2 linked regions of the Xenopus tropicalis genome follow. The protein of the gene in region 1 interacts with the protein of each later gene in a pairwise test. Links are inferred from orthologs where the notes say so. Each region holds a gene or a part of one and is shown on either strand. Other genes may lie near its edges.

What was found.
Region 2: the proteins of gnb5 (region 1) and gng3 interact in a two-hybrid assay, tested with the Homo sapiens proteins (2 studies listed by BioGRID, with this or other methods). The link is inferred for Xenopus tropicalis from reciprocal best matches to the Homo sapiens genes GNB5 and GNG3.

Annotation. Positions count from the first base shown.
Region 1 is NC_030679.2:102,066,100-102,069,928, forward strand, and holds part of gnb5 (guanine nucleotide-binding protein subunit beta-5), read left to right. Parts: intron 1-860; coding exon 861-952; intron 953-2,479; coding exon 2,480-2,528; intron 2,529-3,829. UniProt on the Homo sapiens protein: Enhances GTPase-activating protein (GAP) activity of regulator of G protein signaling (RGS) proteins, such as RGS7 and RGS9, hence involved in the termination of the signaling initiated by the G protein coupled receptors (GPCRs) by accelerating the GTP hydrolysis on the G-alpha subunits, thereby promoting their inactivation.
Region 2 is NC_030680.2:34,651,680-34,656,085, reverse strand, and holds the start of gng3 (guanine nucleotide-binding protein G(I)/G(S)/G(O) subunit gamma-3), read left to right. Parts: upstream 1-1,287; 5' UTR 1,288-1,341; intron 1,342-4,076; 5' UTR 4,077-4,080; coding exon 4,081-4,179; intron 4,180-4,406. UniProt on the Homo sapiens protein: Guanine nucleotide-binding proteins (G proteins) are involved as a modulator or transducer in various transmembrane signaling systems.

The sequences.
Region 1 (3,829 bases):
CCTCTCCCCACTGCTCCGTATGGGAGTTAAAAAGAGCGTTCGCGCATGCGCTGGCGCTTTGCGCATGCGCAATGGGGAGCTGGCGCTTTGCGCATGCGCACTGGGGGCGCGCTTGCGCATGCGCAACGGGAGCGCGTTTGCGCATGCGCACCGCGGGGTGCGCGTTCGCGCATGCGCATGGGGGACTCCCACAGGGGCGGCCTCGGGGCGCACCAAAGAGAAATCCGGCCCTGAGTAGAGGCTTGGCAGAGCATCACCAGAGAAGATACTTAGCACCTGGCAATATCTATTAATCACAGACTTCAAGGGATATGCAACAAAGTACTAAACATGATTGCTTTAATGTAGCTACCTAAAGTGTTGTCATTTCTACATAGTGAAACTTAAATGTATGCAAAGTCAATAACTTTTTAAATTGTGGCAAATAGAGTCTCCTTTTACAGTATGATATTTGCATTTATGCTAACTACAGACGGGATCAAGTTAAGAATGCCAATAAGTGCAGGGAAGGTGGCCAATAGCTTTTTCCTTAAGTTGATGGCCCCAGCTTTCCTGCATGTTGCTGGAAGCCCTCTGATGTTACTGGCTAAAGAAAAACACCTTGGCCAGCCCATACTTTAGTGAGCTCTGTAGCTTAGAAATGCCCTTGCACATGACTGTCTCAGGGGAAGGCCTACTTCTAAATAGGGTATGTTTGTCCATTAGTGTGTCTCCCTTGGGGCTGTGCTAGTGTTTCTGTCAGTATGTCTGTCAGTGCCAGGTTTAAAAGGTGTTGGATTTCCTGGTACAGAACAGCACTTGAAGACTGGATCCAGATGATTTCTCTTTTTACTCTTATTTGTGTGTCCTTTTCTATTTAGGGCTGTGACAAAAAGGCAATGGTATGGGACATGCGGACAGGGCAGTGCATCCAGTCGTTTGAAACCCACGAGTCTGACATAAACAGTGTCAGGTCAGTCCTTTCCCATGCTCTGTGTTTGCTTTGCCTAAATATAAATTTAGCTTATTCCTGTTTTACATATGGCATCAGGTATCAGAACAGGTTTATGCTATACATTTAGCCTACACAGGGAAATGTACCATGAAACTATTTCCTCTTAAGCAGACAATCAAAGTTAGTGGGGAATAGTTTATCTCATATTTGGTATGTATGTGCTTCCTTTTCTTTGCATTTACACATGAGTGGGAAATTCCATATCATTTGTCTAAATACAAATACATATTGTTATAATGATGGCATTATTGATTGAAGAAATATGTGTACTTGTACTGCATATAACAATGTAAGCCCACAGACATGCTGATATCTCAGGCATAACACTCAGGTTTGAGGCTTGATCAAGGGGAATGAGAAATATAAAATCCATCTTGTTATAAACTATTTATGTCTAATAAACCAAGTAAACAATATCTCCTGGTTTAAGGAAGTCTCTTAGAAATTATGATAGTAATTTATTCATGTTCTACAGAGAATAAACTTTATTGTATAAGAAACCCTCATTCTAGCATAAAACACCAGGGGCTACTATAAAACTGGGGTTTGGACAGGTATTTTGTCTGAACAAACAGAAGCACCACAACATTAGGTGATATCCCATGTGTAATTTGGCATTTAATCCTACAGCAACGTAATAACTTAATGTGTTATCTCAGCATCTGTCAGGTATTCTTTAAATGACTAAATTAACATATGCAGTTATACATACTGTATGCTTAAATGGTGCTTTCAGATGTTTTGCATCTCTTCTAGAAATGTGTATCACTTTGTGGGCCAAGTGGGTCAGTTGAAAACATCAGTATAAGGGCTGTTACACACAAACATTTGCCATGCATTTGCTGCACTGTTTCCTCTGCGGGGAAATGCAAGAATAAGCGTTAGTGTTTGTGTGTACTACTTTAGCATCAGTCCCTCTCCCACTGGATCTATCTAAGAGTGGCCATACATGGGCAGATTTAAGCTGCCTATTCAGTTGATTCATACTATCGGCAGCTTATTTGCCCGTGTATAGGGCCCTCCAACAGGCCTACCTGGTTTAAAAATCATATTGTTGCGAGGGGACACATCGCCTGCCAAAATGATTGGATCAGCCCAATATTGCCCACCTTGGTGCTAGCCATTACAAAGAGCTAATCATTTATTTATAAAGGCTTGTATTTTTTATGCCAGATTAATGTTGGAAACTATGCCATTATTTTACACCATCTTACACCTGGAATCGTCATGGAAATCATGGAACATATTTACCTTTAGAGATACAACTCATTGTGTTTATGGACAGGCGTATGACTTCCTTATACTGTATGATTTTAAAGGTGCTACTAATTAGCCCAAGAAGGCTTCATTAAAATCATATGACTCCATGCTATAATTATCATCAAAGCATTTAGCCTGAATGGTCAATTTGCATTGCCATGAAGCTCTTTAAAGATCTCTTAAATCCCTACTTAATTGCTAATAATATTTGCTCTTTCTGCCCAGATACTACCCAAGCGGAGATGCATTTGCTTCTGGTTCAGATGACGCCTCGGTAGGTTTTAGCATCTATTCAGCACATAGCATGTTGTACTTGGGGCTGTATCCATATTATGGGGCCAGTTAATTAATATTCAGTCTTTTTTAGAGATTGGTAATTATGTTTGCATCTCTGTTAAAAAATACATAAAGTTCAGGTTTAACAATCTCTTTTCTCTGGAAAGATACTTTGTTTGAATTGTTAATACCATCCTTGAAATTTGCATGGGGGATTAATGATTGAACATAATGTTGTTCAACTGCTCAAAATAAGAACACAATCTGTCAAACTGGCATATTTATGAACATTGATTAAGCTGTCCATTTTGTCCTGTTAAGTATCTTGACAGGAAAGTGTTATTAAATGTGAAAAAAAATGGAACTGCCTAGTTCATCTGCCCCTAAATGATTTTTTCATTAGTCACCAGCTTGCACATTGCTTTGGCATTCTTCACAATACTTTAATTGCAGGGAGGTACTCATCCTGATTATTAATTTTGTATTATGTATTACTTGTTTCAGAAACATGCGAATTGTCTCGTGCATGACTCACGCCAGCTGAACTCTGGCCAAGGATTGCTAGGCATTTCATGATGGTTTTAGTGTGAGAACAGAAACTTAGGAAATAAGGGTGGCAGAAGGAAATGACATAGTAGCATAGGTATGGGACAGAGAGAAGAGGAGGCAACCAGGTCTGAACTGGAATTAAAATAGGTGCTGCCATTTCTAGTACACAGAGGCCCAAACAGACTAAATAGTGACTGTCTATGGAATCATACAGTAACCCCACTGGCATTTGCCAAAATCCACAGATTGCCAGTCCAGGCCTAGAGGCCAACAGATAGAAGCATACATAGGGAGAATATATGCAAAGGCATAAGGTATCATTCACATGCAGAGGTCAAAGAACACAATTCATCCAGTTCACCAGTTCACAAATACCTCAGACTAGAATGCACAGAAATAAACTGAAATATATTTTCAAAAAAATACCACCTATTGATGCACCTATTCTAAGCAGCTTTCCTTGTTCTTTATTCATTTTAACTGACCCCAGCACCAAGAAACACATTATGCTTGTGAGGATTCAGGTTAAGGGGCAGTTTTACTAAAACTTGAATAAACTTGGCCATACATGCACCAATAATATCGTACGAAACCTGAATGTCACTGGAGGGTTGGAACGATCTTTCGTGCGCCGATGGTCGCACAAACGATCGAAAATTGCCACATGTGTGGCCAGCTTTACATTTACTGTGTGGCCACACATCACCAGTCTGTGTGTCTCCCTGAAGCAAAAGCAATAAAAATTTCAGG
Region 2 (4,406 bases), on another chromosome or scaffold:
TCCTACAATTTTAGTCTAAATGTTAGTTTCAGATCATTGAATTTAAACACATGATCAATATCCAAATGTTTGTCGGACTTAAATCTGAATGTGTATGGCCACCTTAATCCCCTGGTAACTTCGCGGGTGCTGCCGTCTGAGACTCACCTCATGGCAGCGCCCCTGGCACCATAGGCCATCAATTTTCTAAAATAAAACATTTCACTGATAAGTAATGATTTACTTTTTACAGCAGTGTGCTTGACATTTAATTTGGTGCTCTCTCATATTGCCATGACTTATCATATTAGAGTAGGGGGTTAGAAGATTAATATTAGGGATGCAACAAATCCACTATTTTCGGATTCGGCTGAACCCTGGATCCTTCGTAAAGGATTTGTCTGAATACTGAACTGAATTCTAATTTAGATATGTGCACGCATGGCGCACTTCCATGTTTATGTTACAAAAAGTCACGTGATTCAGTTCGACCAGGAGCGTCGGTTTGGCCGAATCCGAATCCTGCTGACGGTCGAATCTTGCCCAAATCCCAACCTGAATTCTGGATTCGGTGAATCCCTAATTACGATCTTGTAATATTGAAATGTAATATTAAAATAAATGTTCATTAGCACTCAGACAGGTAACACCTAGCTGGTATTTTACCATGGTGACCCTAGGTACAATTTTGTTTGGTTTTGTTACTCAGTATTGCTCAGTATAAAGGCTTTGCATAACCCAATATCGTGCATTTTCTAGCTGAAATTCTCTGCATGTGCCCAATTACAGGCTGATTTAATACACACCGGGTACTAGAGTGCCAACATGAACTTCCCCATGCTGTTACCTACTTTTATATTTTGTGGCTTGCTTTAGACTGTAAGCTCTTGCAGGAAGAGCCCTCTTTACCCAATGTTTTAGAGTGCCTTTAAATTAGTTGCAATGTACCCACATATACAGCACTGCAAAACATTGTAGTACTTTATTATTCAATTTAATAATAATAATAAAAAATAATATGCTCAGTTTGCAGATTTAAAGATGTTTTAGATAAATATAGATATTACATAAAGATGTAATAATTTTATTAAAATATATAAGGGCAGTCGCTCCTACCATCTCTCCTCCTTTTGTTTTTGTTTCTCCTTTTCATCCCCTCCCTCACCCCACTCTAAACCTTAGCACTGTGTTTTCATTTTAAATCGTTCAGTCCTCTATCTCCCTCCCTTTCCTTTCACCCTCCCATCCTCCTTCAGTTGGTTTCTCCTCCCCCTCTGCTTTGTTGTAGGGTGTGTGTATATGGTACAGCTGCAGTAAAGCGACTGATCAGCATCCTGTATCCCTCCACTACCAGACAGACAGGTGGGTACCACAAACTATGTTTTCTACCTCAGAGGAGAAGGAAGGCACCGAGTGTATTTTGTAATGGGATGCACTATGTCAAGTGATGCACTATTCATTAAATGTTAGCCTGCTGTCCATTGGGAGTAATGTGCCCCTCCCTGCAGCTTCCATCCTTGCAAATGGCCTAGAATTGTGTGGAGATAAATCTGTAGAAAGGGGAATATGCGGGAAACTGGGATGGGCAAATGCATCATGGGGGGATGATGATGAGGATAGATATCACAGGAGTAAATGAATGAAGAGCATGCATACTGTAATTCAGGCCAAAGGATCTCACAAGTCAGGGCTGAGCACAGAGATGGAGAAAATGAATTGTTGTAACAATACCGGAGGATGGATATGACAGAATGAATGGCTGAAGAGCATGCATATAGTAAATCAGGTTACAGGGCCCCTCCACAATAAGAATTTGTCTGCACTGGTTATGGTTACTTCTGGAAAATATGACAGCACTTGGTTAATATTCAGCAATGATGGAGGGCAGGGCTACGTTTCAGTCACAGATCTTTGCCAGCAAAGGAATCATGTGTATATGCTGGTGTATATTTATATTAACTTGCACAATGTTCTAACCCAGGATGAGGCGGTGTGGAGCTTGTGTCACTAGAGATGGAATCGTGCACAGAATATTTTTTATTACAGTCTACATGTACTGTAGGTGTAGGGCAGTTATTGGGGTTACATTAAGGGATACCACTATCAACTACAGAAATAATACATGGTACCCCTGCTCAAAAGGTGACCAAGAGATTTAGCCACTTTCTTATATCTGATTAAATAAATAAGCTATATGGCACAGGTATTGGGACACTTTATATGAGCAATATTATATGTATATAATCTCCTCAGTTTAACACTCAATGCTGAGTTCCAAACTCTTATAGCAACATCAGCACAAAATCTATTCATTTTTGTCATGGCTGAGCAATTGCACACTAGCCTAACTTCACAATGTGGGGGTGTGCTTCAGCCAGATGATTGCCTTACCTTTTGGCCTGGCACTGCATAAAGCCAACTGTGAAGTCTGGTAAAAGAAAAATAGCAGGGATGCACCGAATCGTGGCCTTTTCTAGCAGGATTTCAGCCGTATCCAATTGACTGGCCGAAACAAATCCTCGCGTGACTTTGGGTCACACAATTAAGGCTACTACTAGATATTTCCTTGTGCTAATTTGAATAAGCAAATTATGGTTTGGATACAGTCAAAACCTTGTGACAGATTCAGCATTTGGCTGAATTCCCCAAAGGTGGATTTGGTGCAACCCTAAAGAACAGCAATCTGTGGTTTTTATAGTTCCAAGATCATTGTTTCTGGTAAAAGCAAACCTTAATTCTACAGCATACAATTACTTTGTTGATAATTCCGTGCTTCTTATTTTGTGGCAACAGTGTGGGGAAGGCCTATTCAGGTTTAGGTATTATGATACCCTCATACACAAAGAGAGTGCCCTTAACCCAACTGAACGCTGACTGATCCCCAGCATCAGTGCCCTACTTCACTAATGTGTTTGAGGTCAAAATGCCAACAACTGTTTCAGCATCTAGTGAAAAGCTTTCCCATGCAAAGTAGAAATGATTTTAACAGCAAATGTCAGACCAAATTCATATTCTAACCCTGGGTTTTGGCACGAGATGTTGGACAGGCAAGTGTTTAGATACTTTTGGCCATACAGTGTATATAAATAAAAATGTTATATAGTGGTTACCTTTTTTTAATTTTGTGGTTGCAGAATAATAGTTACAGAAGCCGGTAGGACCTGCCGCTCTATTTGCTGATTCGTGTAGTCCTATTGGCTTCTGTAAATCCCATACAAGCAAACAGAACGCAACTTAAATGCCCACTGATGCCATCTCTATTTCATCTTTTAATAAATATGCATCAATATGTTTCTTATAACTAGAAATGTTTTTCCTTTTTTGGCACTACACTACCGTGCAGTGTGCTAAGTGCCACTGGCTTACCTGCTCAACCCGGGAAAGGAGGTAGCAGCAGGTGAAACAGATGGGCGGGACTAGTAGCGTTTTTGGAGACTTTTTTTTAATAAATCAGCAGCCTTAAACATCTTCTTTAAGCACATTCCTTCTATATTTAGGATGCACTGGCCCATTCTTGTTTTTTTTTTTTACACATCTCCTTTAAAGGCACCTTAGAAGTTTATCTTCTGGTTACTTGTAGTAGGTACAGTATATGCCTTCATATGTACAGCAGCCCATTTTGTAGCCTCCCCATGCACAACTGTCTATTTTAGTATGGTCAGAGAGCTTCTTCTATGCCAGGCCCAAAGAGGTGGGAGTGCATATAGCTGCTTATATACCAAATGATTTTTTTCTGTTCCAAAAAAATCTGGCTTTATTTACTCCAATATTACATTATATATCATTAGTCAAACCTGCCTAGTTTTCCAAACCATCCATCCAAACCTTTCTTAAAATGCTCTATTGCATCTGCTAGTAGAGCTGCAGTACAACTTCACAGCTCTCACTACAAAAATGCTTTTCACACCTTAAAATGAAACCTCCTGTCTTCCAGTACCAAGGGATGCCCTTATGTCCTCTGGGATATACATATATATCAATAGCTAATATAATGTGTGCATAAATAATAAAATAAATATCCTTAATATTTATTATTTCTATATTATATCTATGCACACACACAGTACATCCATGATTGTATGTATTTTCCTATGCAGCACAATGAAAGGCGACACACCAGTGAACAGCACTCTGAGTGTGGGACAAGCAAGAAAAATGGTGGAGCAGTTGAAGATCGAAGCATCCATGTGTCGCATAAAGGTGTGTACAAAAATATAAATACTCTGGTCTGATAGTTATCATTTATCTTGCACATAGTAAACCTATAGTCAGTATGTTTAAAAACATCAACACAAAATAATTGAGGTTATGTGACACATGCATACACACAGCATTTTCCATGTAGTGTGCTGGAGTTGTCTGTTAATTGTTAATGGAAGCTTATGGATCTCATGGCAGGTTCTAGAATGGAGAATACAGCAACAAAA